Macaca mulatta: one gene and its partners. The protein of the gene in region 2 interacts with the protein of the main gene of each other region in a biochemical or structural test. Links are inferred from orthologs where the notes say so. Each region holds a gene or a part of one and is shown on either strand. Other genes may lie near its edges. The genes, in order: SNAP23, STX4 and SNAP25.

Region 1 (4,209 bases), on a different chromosome or scaffold from region 2:
GCTCATGGCTAAAAGGGACCAAGGTACAGCTTGGGCTGTTGCTTCAGAGGCTGCAAGCCCCAAAACCTTGGTAGCTTGCACGTGATGCTGGGGCTGCAGGTGCACAGAAGTCAAGAATTGAGGTTTGGGAACCTCTGTCTAGATTTCAGAAGATGTATGGAAATCCCTGGATGTCCAGGCCAAAGTCTGCTGCAGGGGAAGAGACCTCAAGGAGAACCTCTGCTAGGGTGTTGCAGAAAGGAAACATGGGGTTGGAGCCCCCCCAGAGTCCCCACTGGGGCACTGCCTAGTGGAGCTGTGAGAAGATGGCCACCATCCTCCAGACTCCAGAATGGCAGGTCTACAAACAGCTTGCACCATACACCTGGAAAAGCCGCAGGCACTGAATGCCAGCCCAGGAGAGCAGCCTCTGGGCCTGAACCCTGCAAAGCCACAGGGTCGGAACTGCTCAAGCCCTTGGGAGCCCACTCTTTGCATCAGCATGCCCTGGATGTGAGACATGGAGTCAAAGGAGATTAAAATAAGCTTTAAGATGGAATGACTGTCCCACTGGATTTTGGACTTGTATAGGGCCAGTAACCCCTTTGTTTTGTCCAATTTCTCCCATTTGGAATGGGAGCATTTACCAATGCCTATTCCCCCATAGCATCTTAGAAGTAACTAACTTGCTTTTGATTTTACAGGCTCCTAGGCAAAAGGGACTTGCCTTGTCTCAGATGAGACTTTGGACTTGGACTTTTGGGTTAATACTGGAATGAGTTAAGACTTTGGAGGCCTGTTGGGAAGGCATGATTGTGTTTTGAACTGTGAGGACATGAGATTAGAAAAGCGCCAGGGGAGCCGGGAGTGGTGGCTCACGTCTGTAATCCCAGAACCTTGGGAGGACGAGGCGGGTGGATCATGAGGTCAGGAGTTCAAGACCAGCCTGGCCAATATAGTGAAATCCCGTCTCTACTAAAAAATACAAAAATTAGCCAGGTGCGGTGGCTCACGCCTGTAATCCCAGCACTTTGGGAGGTGGAAGCCAGTGGATAACCTGAGGTCGGGAGTTCAAGACCAGCCTGGCCAACATGGCCAAACCCCATCTCTACTAAAAATACAAAAATTAGCCAGGTGTGGTGGCAGGCGCCTGTAATCCCAGCTACTTGGGAGGCTGATGCAGGAGAACTGCTTGACCCTGGGAGATGGAGGTTGCAGTGAGCGGAGATCATGCCACTGCACTCCAATCTGAGCAACAGAGCAAGACCCCATCTCAAAAAAAAAAAAAAAAAAAAAAAAGGCAGGTTTGGTGGAATGCATCTGTAGTCTCTATTCAGGAGGGTGAGGCAGGAGGATGGCTGAAGTGTTGGAGGTTGTAGTGAGCCGACATAGCGCCACTGCGCTCCAGCCTGGGTGACTCTGTCTCAAAAACAAAAAAAAAAAAAAGAAAGAAAGAAAGAAAGAAAGGGGCCAGGGGCAGAATGATATGGTTTGGCTACCCATAACCTCATCTCGAATCTGGTGGGAGGTGATTAAATTATGGAGGTGGTTTCCCCCATGCTGTTCTCATGATACTGGTTTTATAAGGGGCTCTTTCCCCTTCACTCTGTCTCTCCTGCCATCTTGTGAAGAAGGTACTTGGCTTCTCCTTTGCCTTCCACCACGATTATAAGTTTCTTGAGGCCTCCCCAGCCATGCAGAACTGAGAGTCAATTAAACGTCTTTCCTTTATCAATTACCCAGTCTCAGGTATTTCTTTTTCTTTTTCTTTTGGAGATGGAGTCTGACTCTGCCTCCCAGGCTGGAGCACAGTGGCATGATCTCAGTTGACTGCAAACTCTGCTTCCCAGGTTCAGGGAATTCTCCTGCCTCAGCCTCCGGAGTAGCTGGGATTACAAGCATATGCCACCATGCCTGGCTAATTTTTGTATTTTTAGTAGAGATGGGAGTTCATCATGTTGGCCAGGCTGGTCTCGAACTCCTGATCTCAAGTGATCTTCCCACCTGGGCCTCCCAAAGTGCTGGGATTACAGGCATGAGCCACCAAGCCCGGCCTCGGGTACTTCTTTATAGCAGTGTGAGATCGGACTAATACAGACTCCATTCCAGGAGATGACAAATAGCAAAAGGCAAAGTGATACTCCCTTCTTGACTTTTTTTCTCCCCTACTTTTATGTCTTTACGTTTTCTCCTACCATCAACTGCCTTTCCTAACATTGTGGTGACTAATGATTAAAGAAGAAAAAAAGGACGAGATGAAACTGCACTTTACAGTACTTTTTCCCCCCACCACTACAATCCCGAATTGTGGAATTCATTCTTTTCCTGATCCTCTAATTTGTGCCGCGAGGTAAGGCTGAACCTTTCTACAGAGAAAGTGCTATCCAATACCAGGAACCTGAGAGTCCTTCCTCAAGCCATTATCTCAGAGCTATCTGGTCACCGTGGTCACCAGACATGCAGTCTATTAATGTCAACCACAGCAACACAGTGGGGGTGAGGGACGGGAGGTGATCTCTGTTTAATTTCGAGGAAGGGTCCAGAGAATCACCATCCAGCCACCTTCCTCCACTGGCCCCTCGATGTTCTCACGGCACCTCCCGTCCTCGCTCCGGGCCCATTTGCCCAGTAAGGGCCAGAGCGCCCCCTCCTCCGCTTAAGCCCGACCCCACCAACTTTTCAACCAATACGATATACTCTTTCTTCTCAGGACATACTCTCCGACTTCATCCCGGTCAGCTCCCTCCGTCCCACTCCTGGAGACTCACCAAGCGGGTAAGGCCACTCCTCTCCAGCCGCAGCTCGGACACCCCAACACCGGACCTGGCGCGGCGCCCTAGTCGCGCCTGCGCGCGCCGAGCCCGCGCGCCTGCGCACATCCCGTGCGCCGAGGACACGGACACACCCTTGCAGCTGGAGCCAATCACGGTGCTGGGGGTTTAAATGTCCCTGCCACGCAGGCGGAGAGTCTGGGAATTCACCAGTTAACCGGATAGATTCCGGTCATGCCCGAAGCTGGGAGGTGTTCATGCAATAAACATTTACTGAGGGCAAACCGTGTGCCAGGCAGTGTGCTGGATGAACGATGAAGAAAAGAAAGCGAATAGAATGCTTTCCCTGCCCTTCAGCGTCTTTCAATATGTCTAGACTAAGATATAGATATGTAAACAAATTTATAGTGAATAGAATACAGTGCATAGCACATAGAAAATCTGAGGCGCCTTTGGCTGATAATGAACAAAGCGTTTTATTCTTAGGGGTGTCTGGAAGGGTTCCCGGAGGAAGTGACTTGAGTCCTGAAGGATAAGTAGGAGTTCCCCCGGAAATCCGGCAGAGAAAGAGCTAGAGTTTTCCAGGCTCTGGGAAACAGCTTATGTCGAGAACAGCATAACGCCTTCTGGAAATTTCTAGTAGTTCATCCTTGTAAGAGGCTTAGTGCTAATCGTACATCCCAGAGTGTAGAGGGAAGAAAGCTTTAGAAGGCCGACAATCGCTAGATTTTGGAAGGCCTTGGAATTTTAGACCACTTTGTACTATGGGCACTGAAAACTATTGAAGAGTTTTAAGCAGATGGATGATTATTGTAAACTATTTGCTGCAGGAACCCTTCCATGCACCTCTAAGAATAAAACAAACTGCTGGAAATCAAGAAAATAAAGTGCTTCACCAGGCACAGTGGCTCACACCTGTAATCAATCCCAGCACTTTGGGAGGCTGAAGCGGGCAGATCACGAGGTCAGGAGTTTGAGACCAGCCTAGCAAAAATAGAGAAACCCCCGTCTCTACTAAAAATACAAAATATGGCCGGGCGTGGTGGCTCACGCCTGTAATCCCAGCACTTTGGGAGGCCGAGGCGGGCGGATCGCGAGGTCAGGAGATCGAGACCATCCTGCTTAACACGGTGAAACCCCGTCTCTACTAAAAATACAAAAAAATTAGCCGGGCGTGGTGGCGTGGTGGCGGGCGCCTGTAGTCACAGCTACTCGGGAGGCTGAGGCAGGAGAATGGCCTGAACCCAGGAGGCGGAGCTTGCAGTGAGCCGAGCTCGAGCCACTGCACTCCAGCCTGGGCGATAGAGCAAGACTCTGTCTCAAAAAAAAAAAAAATATATATATATATATATATATATATATAAATTTTGTATTTTTATATTTTGTATGTTTATATTTTTATATTTTAAATTAGCCGGGTGTGGTGGCAGACGCCTGTAATTCCAGCTAGTCGGGAGGC
Region 2 (3,542 bases):
AGGCACTGAGGCCTGAAGGAGGAGGCCACCATGAATGAGCAGCTGCCAACCCCAGAAGAACTGTCTGCCCTTCTGCATAGGGGCCAGTGTGAGGAAGGGGTCCAGCTGGAGGCTCTGCCCTGTCCCCCAGGCTGCTGGGAGAGAAGGCCAGGCCCTGGGTCCCTGGTGCTCCTAGTGCCTGTAAGGAAAGGAGGGAGAACAGGGTCTGAGGGAGAAGGGAGGGCTGGGGCCAGGGCTGGGGCAGGCCAGAGGGCAGCCCACAACATCTCACCAACAATGTGTGACATTATCCAACCACTGTGACGCCAATGATGACTGCTAGGAGGACGACGGTGATGGACACACAGATGGCAATCAAGACTTTCTTCTGTGGGAGAGGAGGGGGTCAGGGAAGTCACACAGGGTGCCTGGGGCAGAGGCTGGGCCTGGGAGGCTCACCTTCCTCGCCTTCTTCTGGTTCTCCAGGGCTGTCTTGACGTGCTCCTGCCCGCGTTCCACGTAGTCCGCTGAGCTCAGGATGTTCTTCTCAATCCGATTGATCATCTCCCCCTGCTCAGAGGATGGGGTGATTCAGGGAGGTAAGGATGCCTTTGCCCACCCCACCCCAGATGACTGAAGAGCATTCCTGGCAGGAAAAAAAAAGATTGCACTAACAAAGACAAGGGCAAGACTCGATCTGACAAAAGTTCAGGCTCCTTGGAGATGGCTTCCAGGTCCCTTCTATCATGTAGTCCCTTGTCCCCTGCTCGCTTATCCCATATGACCTCTATCTGCAGTGGTAGCTTGGAGCTAAGGACCTCAAATGGCTCATACCTTTCACAGATGGTGAACTGTGCCTTCACAAATCTGTCTGAATTTACCCATTCTTCCAGGCCTATCTACAGCTGCTGCAAAGCCCTCCCTATCCCTGCCTCCTCCTGGCACCACCAGCCTCAGGTCTCAGTGCTCCTACTGAATGAGATCTCTTTCCTGTAAGTCTCAGCTGCAAAAGGGCATTGGTTGTAGCATGACTGAGGCCAGCTCCTCCAGGACAGGGCTGGAAGCTCAACTCAACTCACGCAACCAGGGCCAGGGGAACACCGCCCCCACCCCAGCCTTGTACAGATGTTAGGAGGCAGCCCCTCTAAGGCAACTCTGACTGAACCTCTGAGAGGTATCAGGGTGGATGCTGTTAGTGGAGGGGGAGCCAGGGCTGGGGCCAGACCTGGGCAGGCTCAAGTTTTGGAGAGAGGGCAGGGTGCTATGCAGAAGGGAGTGGGTATCTGGGTAGCAGCAGAGGCAGGCGCCATTCTCGGGGTACAGCTAAAGATAAGAATAAGCACCAATTTGGGGGGATGGCCAAACCTGGAAGACACAAAAGCCTCAGGGAGAGAATCTAAGGGTGGCAGGAGGCTGGCAGTTTGGACTGAGCCTGGTATCACGTCTGGGGCTGCGCGGGGCACTCACCTGCATCTCCACTTCAGAAGCCAGAAAAGTGAAGATATCGTGCAGCTCACGAATACTGCGTTCAAGCTGCTGGATCTCACTGTGCCGGGCCGAGATCTCATTTAAGGCCTGTCGAGTCACCTGTGTGTCCTTCAGGATCTAGGGGGTGGACAGGAGTGGGGCAACTGTTCACAGGGAGACCGACAGCAGGTCAGAAGCTCCTGTTGAACTTCTGGGTAGCCCTCAGCCTGGAATCTGATGGGTGACTCCAGGTTAGCTAATTAATTCCCTTAGGGGCCTCAGGGTCCCCTCAATCAGAAAGGGACATAGCAAGCGGAGTCCAGTGGCTCACACCTATAGTCCCAGCTACTCGGGAGGCTGAGACAGGAGGATCACCTGAGCCCAGAAGGTCAAGAACGGGATAGGAATCAGAGGAGATGGGAGGCACAGCAGAGAGGGGCTGGCTGTGGCCACTCACATTGGACACAAACACCTCGCTCTGCCCACTATCCAGCATCTGCTCCAGCTCCTCGTCAGATACCATCCCAGCATTGGCTGTGAAGGAAAAGGCCAGGCTCAGGGCTGGGTTGGGATTACCTGCCCCTGCAGGCCAGGCTGGGCACACACAACTCACTGATCTTCAGCTGCCTCCGGATCCGCTCCACGTTCTTCTCCCGGTATTCGGACTGCATTGAATTGCACTTGTTGATGAGCTCCACGAATTGCTGGGACAGGACCCCATGCTAAAGATGAAGAATATAGGCTGGGTGCCCCGGGAGGATCCTTGCCCGGTCTGGGCCTCGGCAATCCCATAGTAAAGTGAGCAAATAGCATGAGCTCTTATGCGGGGTCTGCCACCTTAACCACTTTGTGATGACCTTGACAGGCTCCCCCATTTCTCTTAGACAAAAAGCCAAAGCCCTTAGCAAGTCTATGTGGCCCTCCATGATCTTTTTTATTTTTATTTATTTATTATTTATTTTTTGAGACAGAGTTTCGTTCTTATTGCCCAGGCTGGAGTGCAGTGGCGCAATCTTGGTTCACCACAACCTTGGCCTCCTGGGTTCAAGCGATTCTCTTGCCTCAGCCTCCCAAGTAGCTGGGACTACAGATGAACATCACCATGCATGGTTAATTTTTATATTTTTAGTAGAGATGGGGTTTCACCATGTTGGCCAGGATGGTCTCAATCTCTTGACCTCAGGTGATCCACCCACCTCAGCCTCCCAAAGTGCTGGGATTACAAGTGTGAGCCACTGCACCTGGCCTATTTTTATTTTTAATAGAGACAGGGTTGACCCGCACGGTGGCTCATGCTTGTAATCTCAGCACTTTGGGAGGCTGAGGTAGGCAGATCACCTGAGGTCGGAGTTCAAGACCAGCCTGGCCAACATGGTGAAACCCCATCTCTACTAAAAATACAAAAATTAACTGGGTGCAGTGGTGGGTGCCTGTAGTCCCAGCTACTTGGGAGGCTGAAGCAGGAGAATGGCTTGAACTCAGGAGGCGGAGGCTGCAGTGAGCAGAGATGGCACCACTGCACTCCAGCCTGGGTGACAGAGTGAGACCTTGTCTCAAAAAAAAAAAAACAGAGAGAGATGGGGTCTCGCAATGTTGCCCAGGCTGGTCTCAAACGCCTGGGCTCAACCAATCCTCCCACCTCAGCCTCCAAAGTGCTGGGATCACAGGTGTGAGCCAAGGTGCACGGCCAGCCCTCTCTGATCTTGCTTCCTCTTACTGTTCCCTCCCTCTGCCCATCCACATTGGTCTCCTTACAGCCCTCCCTAGACAAAGCACACTCTCAGCTTAAACCTTTGCATTCACTTCTCATTCTACCTAGAATGCCCATTCCCCGCAAACACCTTTAAGTCTTTTGTTCAGATGTCACCTTCTGAATGAAGCTTCCTCCACTTGCTTTCAACTGCAACGCTACCCTCCTCCAGCATGCTCAGTCCCTCTTCCGCTGCTCTTTTTTCCTTAATGCTTATTATGTTCTAAATAATTCACTTATTTATTATGGTGATTGTCTACACCAGAAGGGAAGTTCCATGAGGATAGGGATCATTGATTCACTGCTGTACCCTAAACAGTTCCAAAAAGGTCTGGCACACAGTAGG
Region 3 (3,649 bases), on a different chromosome or scaffold from region 2:
TCCAACCCATTCTTTTTCCACTTCATCTCTCCCTTCGGGCAAGTTCAATTAATCCATTTATTCTGCTGGCCGACTGCTGTACTACCAAATTGGAATGAGTGAGGTTTATGATTCCAAGTGCCCTTTTGATTCCATTATTACTGTCTGCCCCATTTTACCCATTTAAAAATAGTTTGGGATTCATTAATCCTGCCTCGCAAATGGATGCTTAATCCAGACAGGAATATAGAAAAGCTTCTGTATTTATAATATTGGACTTGATATTTCCCTTTCTTAAAGGCCTTTCCTATTTTTTTCGTAAATTTTAGTGCTTAACTTTAAATAGAACAATTTCTTAAAATGATATACCTATATGCATTACATATTTTTAAAAGTCATATATGTGGCTAAAGTTAGAACAGAATCTCAAGATTAAATGTAATTTATAGGCACCAAAATAATTACAAATAATATTTCATGTAGATAATTCCTTTGTATATTAAAAATTGCTCTGATTTGCTTAAAGTGATACAATCTTTTGTGATTTCTTGAGAGCACTGACTTGGAAATTCTATTCTTCTCTGCTTCCCAGACTACAGAGGTAGCTTGGGCTGGGAAGGAGGGTGATGTTGCCTTCATGGCTATCTGGCAACTTAAATACAGCATCTCCCTCATTCTGAGCCTTTCTGATAGGCTACATTCACACTGGAATCTATGGGATCATGGACTAAGGAAACATAATAGCAACTAGGAGAGGATATATCAGCATAAAGGATTTGTTTCTTTACCTTAAAATACTGTCACTTCTTACCTCTTCAACCAGTTGCAGCATACGACGGGTGCTTTCCAGCGACTAAGATTAAAAAAACAAACAAACACAAGCTTTATGAGTGCAGGATCCAGAGGTCTTGGAAAGTCAGAAATACTGTATTTACTTGAGAATCACAAAGGGTCTCTATCACATATTCTTTTCAGTTGGCAAGTGAAACACAAAATGTCATTACGTTTTCAAACTCTTTCCTATCAGGCTTTTTACATGATCAGATTCCCTAAAGCAATTACATTAAAGCTTATATTCATAAAATCAAAACCATATGAAGCTGATCTTGATATCAAAGACAAAGTAATCTGGAGAAGATAATTTTGCATGCTCAGAATGCATGAAAAATTATCTCAAATACTCAGAGGATTAATTTGGCCTCCCTGGGCCAGGAATATTAAATTTTAAACACGAGCATAATTTTTCATGAATCGAGATGAATATAACATCAAGTTTCTTACAAAGCTCCTAGAAACACAATTGGAAGTTCTTATCAATACAAATTAAGTTGTTGCCTTAGGGTGAAAAAAATCAAGCATGTTTGAAATGACTAGCCTATAGGAGACAGCTATAATAATTATCTTCATCCTTAGATAAGAAAAAATGAGATGGAAAGTCTGAGCTCTGCAACAGTCCCCCAGGCACGGCGTTGTCATTTTTTTCCTCAGTTCTTTTGAAACGACTAGAATCCAACAACCAGTATGATTTCTCAAAGCTTTGCTTTTAAGTGACAAACTTATTTTGAACAAGATTCTGCAGGAACCTGAAGGATGTTAACTTCCCTGGAAGACCTGTCAGCTGGCTGCTTTTTGAAACAGAATGGCTGCAAGCAGCAGTCTGCTGGTAAAGGTTTAACTACTGGCTCTCTGGGAAAAATATACGAACACATACATGTATTCAAGGTTATTATTTTACTGATGTAAAGGATGAATAGCACAACATTTATAAATAATAATAAAATATACGATACTCTCTTTATTGTAAATTCCGCATAGCCAATTGATTCTCACAGAAAGCTTTTACTGATTTTTGCTGAACTCTTGTATCTATAGCTAACCATGTGATGAACCAGAGTAGTTCTGACATGAATGTTGGTTGGATATTTTCATTTATGTTAATGAGTAAGAAGAAAATGAAACAATGAAGACATGTGTTGGAAATTTCTTCATTTGTGAATGACAAAAGGGATTTCTTTGCCTTAGAGAATCATAACTTTCAAATACTGGAAGATTTCCTCTTTTTGTGTTATTCATAGTATAATGGCTGCAGACATACATATTTCTAACTTTAATCTGCATTATTAATATTTTCTCCACTTTTTAAAGTCTAGGCAATCAGCGAAACAATAAGTCAAGTCCTGATCTGCAGTATTTGCAGATTCTTGGGTTATAAATACTTTTACTCTGTCTGATTTTTAAATTTTCAAATATTTTTAGAGGTAGGAGTCTCTCTATGTTGCTCAGGCTGGTCATGAACTCTTGGCCTATGCGATCCTCCTGCCTCAGCCTCCCAAGCAGCTGAGATCACAAGTGCGAGCCACTGTACTCAGCTCTGCCTGATTTTAAGCTACAACTTCATATTACTGATCATGAAGTTGGAAAGATACATGGTGACACATTATTACACCTTATTTCCACCCTACAGATACAATGGATGGATCTCAAGATCCTGGATAATAGTAAAATGTGGCAAAATAATTAGGAAGTGATGAGGTTTGAGTGTTTATTACTTTTGATTTTAATATAATCTATCTAATTGTCAGTTTATATGATTCAATTTTAATAATGGCTGCATTTAGCAACCAGCTTGCAAAGTTCCTGAAAATGTTAACAATCTGTTCTTAGAACTGAACCTTCTCCAGCATAGCACTGAATGTAAGGCACCCAAAGACATTGCTTTCTTTTCTTAGAGAACCTTGACTTCTCAAGATTTCTAGAAATTGAGAGTTACGGCCAAGGCATTAATTTGTATACAGGTTTTGTAATCAACTCATTCTGGGCTGCAGAAGGCTTAGCTGTATAGAAAATCAAAGTCATACTACTTTTTCTAAAATTGAGACATTGAAAGAAAGCCTTTCCTTACCTAAACCTGAAAAAGACAAACCACTCAGGCCTTCATCTTTTGCCTCCCTTCCTAGGTCTCCACTCCTTACCTCATCAGCCAACTGGTCAGCCCTTCGCTGCATCTCCTCCAGCTCATTGCGCATGTCTGCGTCTTCGGCCATGGTAGCGGTGGGGAGTGGCTGGGCGCCTGGGCTGGGGGGTCAGTGATGGGTTTGGCTCTGGACCTGGAAAGAAGTAGATTTGAAAATATGAGAGCTTATATATGTTCATGTAGGTGTGTGCAAAGACCAGAAAATCTACATGGCCCATATTCAGTCCACATGACTCAGTTTTCTGATCTGAAAGCCATGCTCAGACAGGGGTCAAGAGAATTGTGCTATTTCTCCGAAAGGTGCCACAAATACATACTTGCCAATTCTACCATGGAGGTAGACACCTATCTACCTATGAAATATTTCTAAAGAGACAAACTACCCAAGGGTTGGGAATGATGAGGTTGGAGGGGTGTGGTTTGGGGTTAGTGCACTTTTATCGTCACATTTATTTATTTATTTAAATAGCTCTATTAAGGTATAACAGATATACAGGACACCCCACATATGTGAAGTGGACAACTTGAGAAGTTTTGACATATGTATACGCCCAGAAAACCATGACTGCAATCAAAACAATGAACTTAGCCATTATTCCCCCAAATTTCCTACCCACCCAGTGGTCCCTGCCCTATCCCACATGTCTATGCCCAGAAAACTGCTGATCTACTTTCTTTTCTTTCTTTTTCTTTTCT

What was found.
Region 1: the proteins of STX4 (region 2) and SNAP23 form a complex in vitro, tested with the Homo sapiens proteins (4 studies listed by BioGRID). The link is inferred for Macaca mulatta from reciprocal best matches to the Homo sapiens genes STX4 and SNAP23.
Region 3: the proteins of STX4 (region 2) and SNAP25 form a complex in vitro, tested with the Homo sapiens proteins (3 studies listed by BioGRID). The link is inferred for Macaca mulatta from reciprocal best matches to the Homo sapiens genes STX4 and SNAP25.

What each region holds. Positions count from the first base shown.
Region 1 is NC_133412.1:19,899,874-19,904,082, reverse strand, and holds the start of SNAP23 (synaptosomal-associated protein 23), read right to left. Parts: upstream 2,825-4,209; 5' UTR 2,748-2,824; exon of another isoform or gene 2,697-2,747; intron 1-2,696. UniProt on the Homo sapiens protein: Essential component of the high affinity receptor for the general membrane fusion machinery and an important regulator of transport vesicle docking and fusion.
Region 2 is NC_133425.1:29,674,829-29,678,370, reverse strand, and holds part of STX4 (syntaxin-4), read right to left. Parts: intron 2,169-3,542; coding exon 2,060-2,168; intron 1,981-2,059; coding exon 1,904-1,980; intron 1,585-1,903; coding exon 1,447-1,584; intron 550-1,446; coding exon 439-549; intron 368-438; coding exon 287-367; 3' UTR 272-286; intron 179-271; exon of another isoform or gene 1-178. UniProt on the Homo sapiens protein: Plasma membrane t-SNARE that mediates docking of transport vesicles. Necessary for the translocation of SLC2A4 from intracellular vesicles to the plasma membrane.
Region 3 is NC_133415.1:73,754,442-73,758,090, forward strand, and holds part of SNAP25 (synaptosomal-associated protein 25), read right to left. Parts: intron 3,087-3,649; 5' UTR 3,024-3,086; coding exon 2,952-3,023; intron 833-2,951; coding exon 791-832; intron 1-790.